Rhinolophus ferrumequinum: one gene and its partner. The protein of the gene in region 2 interacts with the protein of the main gene of each other region in a biochemical or structural test. Links are inferred from orthologs where the notes say so. Each region holds a gene or a part of one and is shown on either strand. Other genes may lie near its edges.

What was found. The genes of interacting proteins can lie anywhere in the genome.
Region 1: the proteins of GRIP1 (region 2) and CARM1 form a complex in vitro, tested with the Homo sapiens proteins (2 studies listed by BioGRID). The link is inferred for Rhinolophus ferrumequinum from reciprocal best matches to the Homo sapiens genes GRIP1 and CARM1.

What each region holds. Positions count from the first base shown.
Region 1 is NC_046301.1:39,541,469-39,548,506, reverse strand, and holds the start of CARM1 (histone-arginine methyltransferase CARM1), read left to right. Parts: upstream 1-4,020; 5' UTR 4,021-4,033; coding exon 4,034-4,256; intron 4,257-7,038. Other genes in the region: C18H19orf38 (protein HIDE1), read left to right, coding at 1,906-2,055. UniProt on the Homo sapiens protein: Methylates (mono- and asymmetric dimethylation) the guanidino nitrogens of arginyl residues in several proteins involved in DNA packaging, transcription regulation, pre-mRNA splicing, and mRNA stability.
Region 2 is NC_046293.1:63,342,285-63,350,256, reverse strand, and holds the start of GRIP1 (glutamate receptor-interacting protein 1), read left to right. Parts: upstream 1-4,960; 5' UTR 4,961-5,170; coding exon 5,171-5,303; intron 5,304-7,972. UniProt on the Homo sapiens protein: May play a role as a localized scaffold for the assembly of a multiprotein signaling complex and as mediator of the trafficking of its binding partners at specific subcellular location in neurons.

The DNA of each region.
Region 1 (7,038 bases), on a different chromosome or scaffold from region 2:
GGCAAGTTCTAAAATTTTCCGTGAGAAGCCACGAGGCTTAAGGCACTAGCCTGGTGATTTTTCCTTTTTTACAAATATATTTAAAATGAAACAATGAAAAACAGAAAAACAACTTATTTCTCAGTGTTTTTGTTCTGATATATATAATATATAAATATATATATATTTTTAATATTTTTATATAATATGTATATATATAAATAATATGTTTATATTTATTTATTGAGGAACAGTGTGTTTTTCCCGGACCCATCAGCTCCAAGTCAAGTAGTTGTTTCAATCTAGTCGTGGAGGGTGCAGTTCACTGGCCCATGTGGGAATCGAACTGGCGACCTTGGTGTTATGAGCACTGTGCTCTAACCAACTGAGGCAACTGACTGCCCATATTTTTTTTTAATTAAAATTTTTTTGGGAAATACATCCACATGTCAAAGTTATATATACAGTAGTATTTTCTTCTATCACTTAACCCTTCTCCACCCACTGGTCTCTCTCTCTACCCACACAGAGTAACTAACCATTGTTAGGAGCTTCTTGGAAAATGCAAGCAAAGGTGAAAATAACAAATGTGTATGCTCACCCTTTTCAACACAAATGGGAGCATGCTAGACACACTGCACGGTGCTTCTTTTCCTTAGTTGTAAATTCTAGTGATCTTTTCTAGTTTCTTTTTTAGAATTGTGGAAAATATACATAACAAAATGTATCGTTGTAATCATTTTTAAGTGTGCAGTTCTGTGGCATTAAACACATTCACGTTGTGCAACCGTCATCACCATCCATCTCCAGGCTGCATCTTGGAAAAACTGAAACTCTGTCACCACTATACATTAACTTCTCAATCTGACCTCCCCTCAGCCCCTAGCAACCACCACCCTACTTTCTGTCTCTGGGGATTTGCCTTTTTTGGACATTTTATAGAGAAATAATGCCATACAATGTTTATCCTTTTGTGTCTGGCTTATTTCATTTAGCATAACATCTTCAAGGTTCATTCGTGTTTTAACTCGAGTCAGAATTTCCTTCCTTTTTAAGGCTGAATAGTGTTCCATTGTATGTATACACCACATTTTGTTTATCCAGTCACCCACTGATGGACACTTGGGTTGCTTCCACCTTTTGGCTATTGTGAATAATGCTGCTATGAAAAGGGGTCTGCAAGTATGTGTTCCAGTCCTTGCTTTCAGTTCTAGTTTCTTTTACAAGTGTTAGAAAGCTGTGCTGTTGGCTGAAATGAAAATGAAGCAGCTGTTAGGACTCCAGGTTATCCTGTGCTACTGCACTGATATTGACTTTGTCACACCCTATGGGGTGTGGCTGACTTTTTTTTTTTAACAAGGTGACTGAAGCTGTCTATGGGCTGTACTGTGGTCACCTAGCTAGGGAGCAGCAGGACTGGGAGTGGCTTCAGTTTCAGCAAACTTCTTTTTGACTAGCATTTGGGACAAGGAGCCTTCAAGGTGGAGGAAGCCCAGAACGGGAGGGGCTGGAGGTAACAGTAATAACTGGGTTCACTTAACAAACGTTTAGTGCTTATGATAGGCCAGGTGCTTTATCTATTTGATTCCTTTATGCTTTATAGCAACCCCAGGAGGGGGTGTTAGCGTTCTCTCCATTGTGCAAAAGGTGAAACTGGGCACAGAGGAGTTAGATCACTCAACTGTGGTCAGACCATTAGGAAGTGCTGGACCTGGGATTTGAACCCAGGCTGCCTGGTCCCCTATTCAGCAGAGAGGAAGGCAGGAGGACAGAAGGCAGATAAACGCCCTGAAGCTGTGGGGTATGTGTATGTGCATGAGATGAGACCTGATGGACTAGGGAGTCTCAGGCTCAGAACATGGGGAAACTCTAGACCCTGAAACCCCAAATCACCCGGTTCTCTCTACTTTTCTTCCATGGACAAAGAAAATTACTTCAGAAGGAGATGCAGCCACCCTGGATGATCTCTCAGGCTCCACTGCGACTCCTGGCAACTTTGGGCCCCGGAAGAGGCCCACTTCCACATCATCTTCGCCTGAGCCCCCTGAATTCAGCACCTTCCGGGCTTGCCAGTGAGGCTGAGGATTGGGTCCCTCTCTCTCTGCGTGCTCTGCCCTCCATTCCGCGTTCTCTCATTTGAACTGGCTGGGCTGCGTGGGGCCCAAGGTCCCTTCAACTCCTTTGAGGGGTTCTGGCTGCTGCTTTCTCAGGGAACTGAACAGTGACAAAGGGACCCCTGGCCTTGGGACCTTCCTCACAGAGGAGCAGGAATGGGAGAGGGGCTGCAGGCATTAGCCCAGAGGCTGGACAGCACGCAGGAAGCTTCTCTTTGGATTCCCAGCTTCTCAGATCTCCAAGGAAGGAAATGTTAGGATCCCTTCTGGCCCCCAGCTGGGCCACAAGAGGTCTGAGCTCTCCACACAGCCCTATGGTTTCCTCTTCCCTTGCCACACCTGACTTGGCCAACCCAACTGGGTTTTTAGAACATAGGGTACCTGAGGGTGTGTTCTGTGTGTCTGCCCTGCTGGCATGCCTAAGTTATTAATTATAGCACGTGTTGAGCTGTTCCCAAGGCCTCTACGGAGTAGAATCCTTCAAGCTGGTGGGTGGGGGGAGTACCCCTCAACTGCATGCAGGCAGTGTGGTGTGTGGGGAGGCCCATGGGGTACAAGGAGGGGACAGTGCCCCACAGAGTCTCTGCTGAAGTCCTAGCACTGGTGGATACAGGAGGTGGAATGATGGGGTGTGGAGGCAGAGGGACATGGGAAAAAAGAGTAGTAGTAAATGAGGAGGTATGGGAAGGGTGGAAGCTGAGGAGATGGAAAGTGTCCGCAAGCCTCTTTGGCTCCCCCAAAAGGGAATGGGGCCCTGGAGCAATGGAGGGGGGTACTTGGAGGGAAGATGGATGTGTGTATACGTGTGTGTATGAAAAGGGTCACTTGGCCATGTTCTGGTGGACCAACTAGCCAGCCATCATTGGGGGAGGGGAGAGTTAACTAGGGGAGGCAAGGGGCCAAGTGAAGGGCTCAGAGGGAGGGGGTCCAAGAATGTTTTGTGGGGGAGGAGACAGTGAAGGCAGTGAAGGGCCAAGGATGGGAGAAAGGAGCGCTGTGGGACGGGAATGGAGATGATGGGGAAGAGAGAAGGAGTGCCGCAGGAGGGAGCATTCCCAAGGGGTTCAGGTCCGGGGTAGAGACCAAGTCCCACCTGGAACTGCTTTTCCAGCAGGGTGGGCTAGGGGTGGGGGAGGCCACAAGTTGGGGGCGTGGCCCAGGCCCTGGCCCCGCCCCTCACTCTGGTTCTCCCCAGGCGCCGATGCTTTACAAAGCAAAGCAAGGCCCAGTGGGAGGGAGCAGGGCCGGTACAGGGGCGGGGCCCCATCGCAGCTGGACTCCGCACTTCAACTAGCCGCCTCACAAAGCCGTGCAGGACCACGGGGCGGAGCCCAGTTTCAGGGGCGTGTCGGAGTTGTTGGGCTTCAGGCTCGCCCCCGCTGTTCCAGGGGCAGGGGAGCCGCCTCACAAAGCGCTGCGGTTTGCGCGAGGCGGGACCCGGAGCGTGTCACACCGCCGAGTACCGCTCCCTGGCGCGCTCCCGCTCCGCCCCTCCTGGGCCTCCGCACCCGCACCGCCCTACTAGGGCGGCCGTTCCAGCCGCGCCGCACTAGGGGCGGGTCTCAGGTCTAGGGGCGTGTCCGTGCGTCCGAGCACCGCCCTCTGACGCACGATCCCGCCCCCGCCGTTCCTGGGACGCGGAGCCACCTCACAAAGCGGCGACCGTTCGCGCGGGGCGGGGCGGGGCGGGGCTGGGCTGGCCCCGTCCCCCGGCGTGCTCCCTCCCTGCGCCCAGGGCCGCCGGCAGAGGGCGCTGCGCCACGGGCCCGGGCCGTCGGCGCTATCAGCGAGGCGGCGCGTAGTCGGCAGGCGGCGCTGCGGGGCTCGGCCTCTGCCTCGGCCTGCGCGGCGGCGGCAGCGGCGGCGGCGGCGGCAGCGGCGGCGGCCTGGGCCCGGGCGCGGCGGCGGTGGCGGCGGCGGGGCCTGGAGCCGGGTCTAAGATGGCAGCGGCGGCGGCGGCGGCGGCGGGGCCGGGCACGGGAGTCGTGGGGGTGACGGGCACGGGCGTCGCGGGGCCCTGCGCGGCCGTGTCCGTGTTCCCCGGCGCCCGCCTCCTCACCATCGGCGACGCGAACGGCGAGATCCAGCGGCACGCGGAGCAGCAGGCGCTGCGCCTCGAGGTGCGCGCCGGCCCGGACGCGGCGGGCATCGCCCTCTACAGCCGTGAGTGCGGGGTCCCGGAGCCTGGCCGTGGGCCGTGCGCCGCGCGGGGGCTGCGCACGAGGCCGGGCGGGGGGCCCGGGGTGGGAGGGACGCAGTGGGTGAGGGGCCGGCGTCCGGAGGGTAAAGGGGCCCCAAGCCGTGGGGGCCTGGTGTGGGGTGCGTGGGGCTGTGCCCAGGGAGCCGGGTGTGGGGGGCCCTGAGTGAGGGGTGTGGAGGAACGTGTCAAGGGGCATAGGGAGAAAAGAGGGCGTGCGTGGTGGCTAGAGGTGAGGTGCCCTGAGTGCTGAGGGAAGCGGGAAATCGGGGAGTGAGGGCCCTGAGATTGGGAGGGGGTGGACAGGAAGTGGGGGGCCGAGAATGGAAGGTGAATTCGGAGGAAGCCGGGGTTGTGAGGGCTGGATGGGAAGGAGGGGGCCCTGGGAGAGGTAGGAGTCTCGCGGGCGGGTGTGGCCACCCTGGCGGGCTGGAGGGAGCCGTGTGGGCAGCCTCTGGCCATCTTAGGGGACCCCCCTGGACTGCTAAGGACAGTTGGAAAGTGGTGCCCAGTCTGGGACGACATAGAGGACAGGTTTCACCCTTTAAGAGGGCTTGGTGTGCGCACAGCCTGAGTGGGAAACTTCTAGATAAGGGGAGAGGGGCCCACGCGAGGGTGGTGCGAGCCCCTGGATGTGCTCCTGGTAAAAACGTGGACCAGTGGGGCTCCTTCATGTTGCCGGGCTTCGAAGAGGTAGCAGTTTCCTCCCGCGCCACCAGTCCTCTGATCTTCCTTTTAGGGGATATGCGAAGCTGGGTATGTTTTCAGAAGCTAGTTTCAAAACTGACATTTCAGTGGGAAAAAAAAATACAAATGTGTTTGCCAAGGACCCCGAGTTCATCCTTTTTCTTCCTCTTGTTACACTTTCTTATCCCTTCTCTCCCATTCCTGATTCCTCCTTCACTTTTTGCTATTCTGTTTCATTCAGCCTTGTTTCTCAGAGTTTCTTGCACTGATGTGCTGGGAAGTCACTCGGGTCCCTTAATTTGCATTGGTCTGTGTGATTTTTGTTTTACACTTCGGGAATGGGGTGTGAGAGAAGTTTGTGGAGCAGTTGGTTCACACAGGGTTCTCCCCGTGCCTTGACTTGAAAAACCCAAACTAGAGGAGCTAGGTCTGTTTCCCCAATGCCGCACCTGTCTTTGCTGGGGCAGAGCTGGGTCTTTTGGACCAGACGAGGAGAGGGAAGAAGGGTGTCCCAGGTGGGCATCAGAGCTCAGGACAGACACTTAAGCTCCAGCTTAAACTTTTCTTTTACTTTAAAACAGTTCAAAGTTTATAGGATTACTGAGAAGATAGCACAGAGTTCCATATATCTACTCCATACCCAGTTTCCCGTATTCACATCTTTGTCCAGGAGAGCTTTTATTTTTCTGCTTTTGTTGATAATCTTGAATTGTTACATGCTATGAAGATAACACTTCTCTTTTCGAGGTAATTCGTAACTGATACATTGTTTGTAAAACAAGAAAAAGTCTGTTTCTCAAACTGAGATCCTTAGTCTGGGATGATAGAGTCCCAGGAGTCTGAAAGATTTTCTTCCCTTTTATGCTCACATAACATTGGTGTGGGGTTGAGAACAGGGTTCTGGAGTCAGCTGAACCTGCTTGTATTAGTTTCCCAGGGCTGACATAACACACTTGGTGACTTAAAACAACAGGAATGTATTCTCTCATAGTTCCTGGCCAAAAGTTCAAAATCAAGGTGTTGGCAGGGCCACGCTCTGTCCAGAGTCTCTGGAGGGGACCCTTTCTTGCCTCTTCCAGCTTCTGTGGCTCCAGGTGTTGCTTGGCTTATAGCAACAGAACTCCAATCTCTGCCTCTGTCTTCATACAGCCTCTCCTCTCTCTTTGTGTCTTTATCTATAAGGACACTTGTCTTTGGATTAAGGATCCACCCTAGACCCAGGATGATTTTATCTCGAGATCCTTAATGACATCTGCAAAGACCCTTTAACAAATAGGTCACCTTCATAGGTTCTGGAGCATAGGGCTTGGGTATATTTTTTATTGGTCTACTATGTGGGCTAGACTGGTGCCCTTCCAGTGGCCGTGTGTCTTTGTGCCTCAGTTTCCTTATCGATAGAATGGGGGTGTGGCACAGTGTGTTTCCTCAATAAATGAACACTTCTTTGGAGGTAGCACCTGCTCCCATAATGGGCTGGCGATGGCCTCAAAGTTGGCTGGGTTATTGCTGAGGGTGAGGCAGCACTGGTTCCTGAGCAGGCCTGGAGAGGGTGGGTGCACAGAACACATTGCTCTGAAGGGTGTCGGGGAGTGCAAAGTCCCAGGGCTGGGCTGTAGGCTGCATGCTGCTCCTGGATGTGAGAGCCTGCCTGCAGGGTGTGGAGTGCTGGCCAACAGTCCCCTGGAGAAGGTCAGACATGGTCAGCCACTGGACGTGTGGGGACGGGACAGCTGGGGAGGACTTGTGGGTGAACCGGCTGCTGGGAGCGTTAGGCCTTCTTGTGGGATGAACTTATTCCTTCCCTGGTCTCAATTTTCCCACCTGGACCCTTCTGGGACCTGAATGCTTTGGCCAGGTGAGAAGGCGTCAGGAGCCCAGTTCTGCTCGCTTGTCTCTCATGAGGTGGGGTCCTGCTAGCTGCTTGTGCTTCCAGGACACCCCCTGGGATTCGAATCTGTGTTTGGGTGAGGAGGGGGATTGGCCAGGACACCTGCGTGAATCTCCCAGTGGCTCACATATGAGAGGCTCACAGAGGCAACCTCGAGTGTTGGCAAGGGTTCT
Region 2 (7,972 bases):
ATTATCTGATGTATCGCAGTTTATTTACCCATTCACCTACTGAAGGACATCTTGGTTGCTTCCAAGTTTTGGCAATTATGAGTAAAGCTGTTAGAAACATCCGAGTGCAGATTTTTGTGTGGACGTAAGTTTTCAAAATCTTTCCGTAAATACCAAGGAGCTTAGTTAATGAATTGTATGGTAACAATATGTTTAGTTTTGTAAGAAACCAACTGTCATCCAAAGTTGCTGTACTATGTTGCATCCCAACAGCAATGAAGGAAAATTCCTGTTGCTCTCCATCCTTGCCAGCATTTGATGTGGTCAGCGTTGAAGATTTTGGCCGTTCTAATAGGTGTGTATCATTGTTGTTTTCATTTGCATTTCCCTGATGACATATGATGTGGAGCATCTTTTCACATGCTTATTTGCCATTTGTCTATCTCTTTTAGTGAAGTGTCTGTTAAAGTGTCTTCAGCCCATTTTTTTAATCAGGTGGGTTTGTTTTCTTATTGTTGAGTTTTAAGCATTCTTTTAGTATTTCTATATTTTGTTCTTTGTATATTTTGGGCAACAGGCGTTTATCAGATGTGACTTTTGCAAATCTTTTCTCCTCGTCTGTGACTTCTTTTCATTCTTTTGACTTGAGATATTTTTCACAGTTTTAATATAAATGAAGATACTAATTTTTACTGCATTGTCCGCCTGTGACTCTACCTTTTTATTTTGTCTCTATTGTATGGAAAGGCTCCTGATCATCTCTGAAATTTGAAATTGCTTCTTAGAAGTAGGTGCAAGGATCTAACTATATCATCTGGTATGGTTGTAGCCACAGATTTACCAATTTAATACATATTATTGAAATACACTTAAATATGTATTTTATTAAGGAATTTTATGTTTAACTTATATGTACCTGGGTCACATGATCCATGAATTTCAGTTAGGCTAGTAAAGGGGGGTATTACAAATCCTTTGCCACAGTCAAGTGGTGTTGGGTCTGACCGGATGAAGAATGCTCTAATTGTCCGTCAGGATCCAGTGTTTTCCCTTCATACTCTGCCACCCTCAGTATGTCAGTGTCGCTGCTCTTGGTATCACAAGCAAACACTGTGGCATCTAAATAAGGTCCGATTGATCCAATATCTCAAAGAGTTTTCTAGTAAACTGTGTTCCATTCTGCTACTCAGAAACTACGGTAACTATTACTTAATCTAAATATGCACATACGAGTCCTACTGACTCAGTGATCTAGGGAAGGTTGTAAATTGGAGATTTAAGCTCAGTAGTTGGTCTATTTCTCTTTTCCTAAAAGGGGATGGAGAATCGAATTCAGAAGCGTATGGAATCCATGTAAGTGCTATTCAGGAAATTGCTTACTTCCTAGAAAAAAAAAAAGAATTCGCTTTTCTTTTCATTTTTTTTAGTATTTGCTATTCTTTATTGAAACACATTTTGTTGAATAATTCAACTTGCTTTATTTTGTCATATGAACAATTTTTTTCTAAGAAATTTAATTTTATAGTTTAGTGAACATTGAGCACAACTAAAACTGATTTGTCATAATAATTTGTTTTCTTTACATGAAAATATAAGGGAACTGAAATTTCTCTTAAAGAAATTAGTGTTTTGGAACTGGCTCATCAGGACAGTACCTCAACCATGGTTTACAAGCATAAATGCCTTCAGGGGGCAGGTGGTAATTGAATGAGAGAATGGGACCCAGGGGAGGGGGCTGTGGCTAAGTGGAAAGTGCATGTTTATTTATGGGTGGCAGCCACCACTCAGCTCTGATCAGTAGTTGCCATATTGGAATTGGGCCCAGAGTTGCCAGATCTTTTGATTTTTTTTTTTTTAAGAAAAAATCAAATGTCTGATCTGTGAAATTCCTGACTTTTAATATTGGTGCAGCTTAAAAGGAAGAAACAAATAAACAAAACAACACTTATGTGAGCCAAACCAAACACAATTGTGGGAGATACTTGTTCTGTGAACTGCCACTTACAACCTCTCAACTAGCCCATCTGTTCAGACTGAAGAGTGCAATAACTGGTGAATAGCACCACTTACCACTGTTTGTGCTGTGAGGAAACAGGGCGGTTCTCTACAGAAATGGTTGTAAACGTAACTGAATGGACTTGAACTTCACTCTATTCATTTGTCAATTAGTATTGGGATATTAGCTAACTGTTGTATAACCACAAGTCATTTTAGATTTTAGATTGGTGCTCCATTGCTCAAACATTAAGGATTTAGGATAGAAGACAGGAAAAAGTCAGAGGTGTGAACTCAGGAAGTTTGATTAAAGGATCCAACACACCTGCACCAAGCCTCAGGCAGAGAAGCAAGTGTCTTGCCTTCTATCTTTTGGATTGTGACACATACACACATGCTTCCTCTCCCTTGCATGGGACATGGCCACATTCTTTCATTCTTTGTGACCCAAGCAGACTTCCTCTAAACATCAAATTCCTTATTCCCTCTTCCTAACCATCTGTGATTGTTTTAACATGGCTGTTACCTCCCCTCCTGTACCTCTCCAAGTGCATGGCTGAACTTTAAACTCTTCCCTAGCACTACCAAACGTCCTCTTATATAAAAATGTTGTTATTATAATCAGATAGTGAAATGTTAACCTCCCAAATAAAATTCTTCAAAACTAGGAAAATAATAGAAAGGTGCTTTAAGCATAATCTCTGTTTACTTTTGAAAACAGTTTTGTATGTGGACAGTTTTACTTTGCATTAGTTCTTATTCAAAATAGTTGCTTATCACTAGTTGAGAAATTCTCAGGGTCTTTGAATACTGAAATTACAAATCAGTAAACTGTGGTGGAATGTTTTAAGTTGGTCTATACACAAATGATCTTCTCTCTAATCAAGCATCATCTGTTCTATCGTGTCATTCCATTTAGATCAAATTCGGAGCTTAAAACTATAAAATTTAAATAATGTAGACTCCACTAATTTAGGAGCTGTAGTAATTCAGAGGTAATTTGAGTGAAATTTGTTGCCTGCATAATCTCTGAGGACATATTACTCACATAAACCAGGATATATGCTTAGCCCAGTTAAAAACTATTATTTTTAAACTCCATTTCAATTGCAAACTCACATAGACAACAATGAATCACTGAATGCAAATAATTCTTAGGCAAGATAATCTCTGAATTTGTATGAAAAAATACCTGTAGTAGGTCATACTTGGCAATGTTACCTTTGTGATCTTGGACAAACCACTAAAACATCTTTAAACCTTCTTTTCTCATGTATAGAGGTAGCACCTCATTATAAAGGTTGTTAGGAGAATTAAATGAAAAGGCTACGTATTATTATTTTTTTTAGTGACCTATTCAAGGACTAGACTCCAGATCTTCAACTAGAACTTCCAGATGTTCTAGTTTATTTTGGTTGAAGGAGTCAGAATAATAAAGAAAAGATTTGGAACCTAAGGACAAGTGAATTTTGTTTAAAGATGTTTTTAAGACATTTTATAGTATTTTTTTGTCAATATCATTAAGTTTGTGTTTCTCTTCACAAACTCACTGGCAAGGCATAAAAAGGGGGGACTATAGAAATAGGGCGAATTCACTGAATCTAACTTTACACATTTCAGAGCTGAAATGTTCTTAGTTGATAAATATTTATCTCTTAAGTAAATGTCTCCCTACTCCAGCATTAGTAATTAATACCTGCAAATAGAGAAATGCCTAAATCTACAAAAGAGACAAATTGCCTGTGAATCTAACAGACAGTGCTAAGTGCAATCACTTCTTTTTGGGATGGTCCTATAAACTTGACATTACATAGATATTGAACGACTCATACAGTAAGCAGCTTTTAAAATAAAGTACATTTCTGGGACCATAGAGTTGCAGCATATTATTAATTTAGTAGGTAATATGCTGACATATTTGATTAATTATAGTGTAAACAAATTCCATTTTTCCTGATGTTAAAAAAAATGTATCTATTTAAAGACCTGAAGAAAGAAGCTAGAGAGGAAAAGATTATCCACGATTAACGCTGACCTGTCTGGATTTTGGAGTACCTCTTTGGTCTAGTCTGAAGTATTTCTGATTGTAGTACTTTTAAAAAAAAAAAAAAAAAAAGAAGTTCTGATTTTAGAGACAAAGGATGAAGAGGGTGTGAGGATTTTTAGAAACGTCTCTCCCTCCCTCCATCTTCACCAAGAACTAAGTTTTATTTGCTCTTTAGCCTGTTTGTTTTCCTATTTTTTTTAAAAAAAATGTAACAACTCAGCTAGATTTTTATTTGAGTTCGCTGTAAGCAGAATTGGATTATTTGTATTTCTGTTCCCAAACACCACGCAGTTTCCTTTATTTGCTGATTGTGGTATGCTGTTACTCAGCCTATGGGGAAGCCACTCTGTGAAGCGCATTTTAATATTTAGATCAAAAAGTGGTTGGAATACATTAATGCCCAGTGGGTAAATGTGTCATTTGAAAGCAGCTGCTGAGCCTTCTCCCTGCTGCTCCAATTAACACATACCGCACACTTTTGTCAGTAAGAGGCAGTGCGTATGGATGAAACCACTTTGCGCTCATTAGTACGATATGCGCCACAGAGCACAAAGGGTTAATCCGTCCGCCCATTGCAAAACAACAGCTTTCCAAGAAGCTCCCCCAAGCACTGCACTTTGCTTCCACGGGTGCTAGAGGAGGGGGTGGGATTAGCAGGTACGAAAAAGTCCGTTGGGTCTCTAGCTTTGGTTCAGTCCATTTACTAGTACATTTCCCCGCCCCTCTCTTCTGCACCCGCGCCCCTGACGATGGAGATGTTGGATAGTGAAATTCTAGTGCTGGGACTTCTCCCCCCTCAGCTGAATCTCTTGTTGAACTTTGTTCTGTTTTGTTTGGAAGCTGTTTGAAGCCCAAAGCTTCGCTGTTTATTTTTTCTCTTAGTCTTTCTTTTCATTTTACTCTCTCTCTCTCTCTTTTCTTTTTAAATTGCACATTTGGACAGTGTACTGCACAAAATAAGAAATCTGGTCAAGACAAACCCATATCGCTCTTATTTTTACCCCCTCCCATGGCTAAAATCTCCGCGCTGATGGTAGCACAGGCAGATGGAAGGGTAGCGCTTCCCAGCCCCAGGTTCGGTGTTGGCCATTCATGCTCCACCAGTTCCCCCAGCAGCTGAGCTGAGCCAGGCTGCACCGGCAGGGAGAGATGGACCGCTTCCTGGGTTTCGTCAAGCAAATAAGAAGATCTAGGAGAAGAAAGGGGAAAAAGTACCGACCAGAAGAGGATTACCACGAGGGCTATGAGGATGTCTATTATTACGCTTCGGAGCATTTTCGAAGTAAGCGCTCCCCTCCACCCTCCGGTTCCTTCTCTCTTGCTGGGGCTAACAATAAACCTTGTGTGGAGCTTTAATCTTAAATGCAAAAGGTTTCCAGATGGTATTGTTGGTAAGCAGTCTGTAAGTACTGAATGCTGCATTTTGATGATTTGTTGCAAGAATAGCCATCAGATAGCATCTAGACAATATAACTAGGAGGTCTATACACATGATGAGTATTTCAGGTGCGATTAATTGATTATGTTACCATTTTTTAATGAGCCATTCACACATTTATCTTGCAAGCCAATGTAGTATGTGGCTAAATGTAGTAGGTGGTTCTGTCGGAGTTGTTTTCAAGTAACTGCTTTTTTGTTCTTTCAGAATAGGGAAGGCTAGCTTATTTGGAAGAAATACTTGTTCATGTTAAAGTTGATACTGATGATTAATGCTCCTGATACAGATTTCCAGACAGTTATCTGTGATTACTCTTAGGTGTTGTTTGTACAAGGAAGTTGAAATGCTTTCCTCTGATGCATGTTTATAATTTTGTTATTAAATTAAGGGAACTCTTTATTTGCTGTCAGTTAGAGCAGTGATACCTGTCGAATAAAATAGTATATCCATCTGAAGACATTTGTCAATTAGCTTCTAAATAGCAGAGAACTAGAATTTTCCTTGTTCTTATCAGTCCTTTAAGTTTCAGTGAGGTTTACACTTGTCATAGATTTAAAATGCCCAGAAATGCCTCAGGGTGCGGAGAGAAAGCAGTGACCACAGAGATCACTGAGTTTACGAGGTGCCCTAAAATCGGGGAACTGACAGTTATGTCTGATCTACATTTACAAAATTAAAAATTATTTTTAATCTTCTTGAATAAGGATCTTTATAAACTTGTATTTCAATTCTAATTCTCCATGGTGTTTTGATGTCTAATTGTAATATATCCCATTTACAGCTTCTGAGCGTTGACTAATAAATAATTTAGAATTCATTTCTGTGGTATTGAAATACATGAGTATTAGGTCTAAATGCCAGAAATGCTGCTGTGATGGATGAAAATTGAGAGTTGAAAAGTCATGTGGTGGCAACAACACAACAATTCAAAATTATAATTCTTTGCTTCAATAATATGGCTATGTGGCTTTTACAGAGTAATCTGAGTTTTAGAGATGTTTCTTTTCTGCAATGAGTTTGACGCAAATAATCTGCTCTAATGTAGTGACAGTCTGTGTTTCGTAAATTTAGTTTTCATAATATATTCAAGAATTTAAGATCTTGATCTTGTCACATCAAAAAATACTGTCAGCTTGCAAGCATAATTCTGAAAACCTGGAGATAAAAAAAAGAAACTTGGGAACTTTTAATTATGTTGATGCTCATTGTACAAATTTCTTACAACATATATATATACATATATATGTGTGTATATATATATGTATATATATATACACACATATATATAATGAGTCAAATTCATATCTTCTTGCGTTTCCACTGTGATGTGTTTGTACAAATAGAATTTTTAAAACTCTCTCTCAAATGCTTGCACCCTACTAGTTTTGGTAAAAATTTAAAAACAACAGAGATACTTCATAAGGGTACAAAATGTGCCTACAAGAAAAAATGTTTATGGAGATACGTAAAGAAACATCCCCAAACTAGAGTTTGGAGAATGATACAGCTAAGGCAGGAGTCTTTATACATCAAATGCAGTAACGTAAAGAGAGTCATCATGTCTTAATTTATCTGATTTGTCAAAGTCATGCTAAAGATAAGATGCTAACATCAAATGTTATTTCCTTTAGATGCAAAACTGACATGTTCTTGCCTGTGATTTATCAGAAAGCACCCATATGTAATATATAACTCTATGGAGTTAGATACATGTTGAGTTGCCAACTTCAAAAGGCTATATAGTAAACAGAGTATGTCACAATGGATGCAGGTACTTGGAATTTGGCATTTTATCAAGTGTTAAATAGCCAGGGCTTTTAAAGAAGACATGTCATGTAACATAATGACCTCTCAGTGCATCTATTCATTTCAGTTTCAGGGACTCGCTGAATTGGACAGGGGAGATATCCACTTATATTTTATGGCCGTAGAAAAGTATTAAAGGGTGAGACTGATCCTTAAAACCAATCCTCTCAAATGGGTACTATGGTTTAATCCAATTACATTTATGGTGGTGTATCTATTTTAATTAGTCTTTGGCATAATTTGAACGTTTATGCTCTATATTTCCCAGATGCCTTAGAAAAACTATTTACATTAAGGTTTAAGACTCGGTGGAATTTACTGATGACATTCACGTCTTAGTTAATGGTGCTATTGATAAACCAGAAGTGTCATTGCTCTTATTTTTCTCCCTACATTGTTTGTTTCTTGAAAGAAACTTAACTCTCTGTCTTGTCAGTTTATCCAGTGGTTCAGATTACCACAAGCACTTTATACATGTAACAATGAAAGACTGAGCTAGAAAGACCTCAGAAAATTCACCAGTAAGTATGCCCTTCGTTTAGTACCTTCTCAAGTGCTTACTGAAATTTAATTTGATCTCTAAATAATGTCTCCTCTGTGGTGGGTTCTGATTTAGAAGTTCACCTTCCTTTTCTTCATCTTAAATACAACATGCTTAATAATCTCCGGAAATGCCAAAGCCTGAATTAAAATGTCATTGGGTCTGA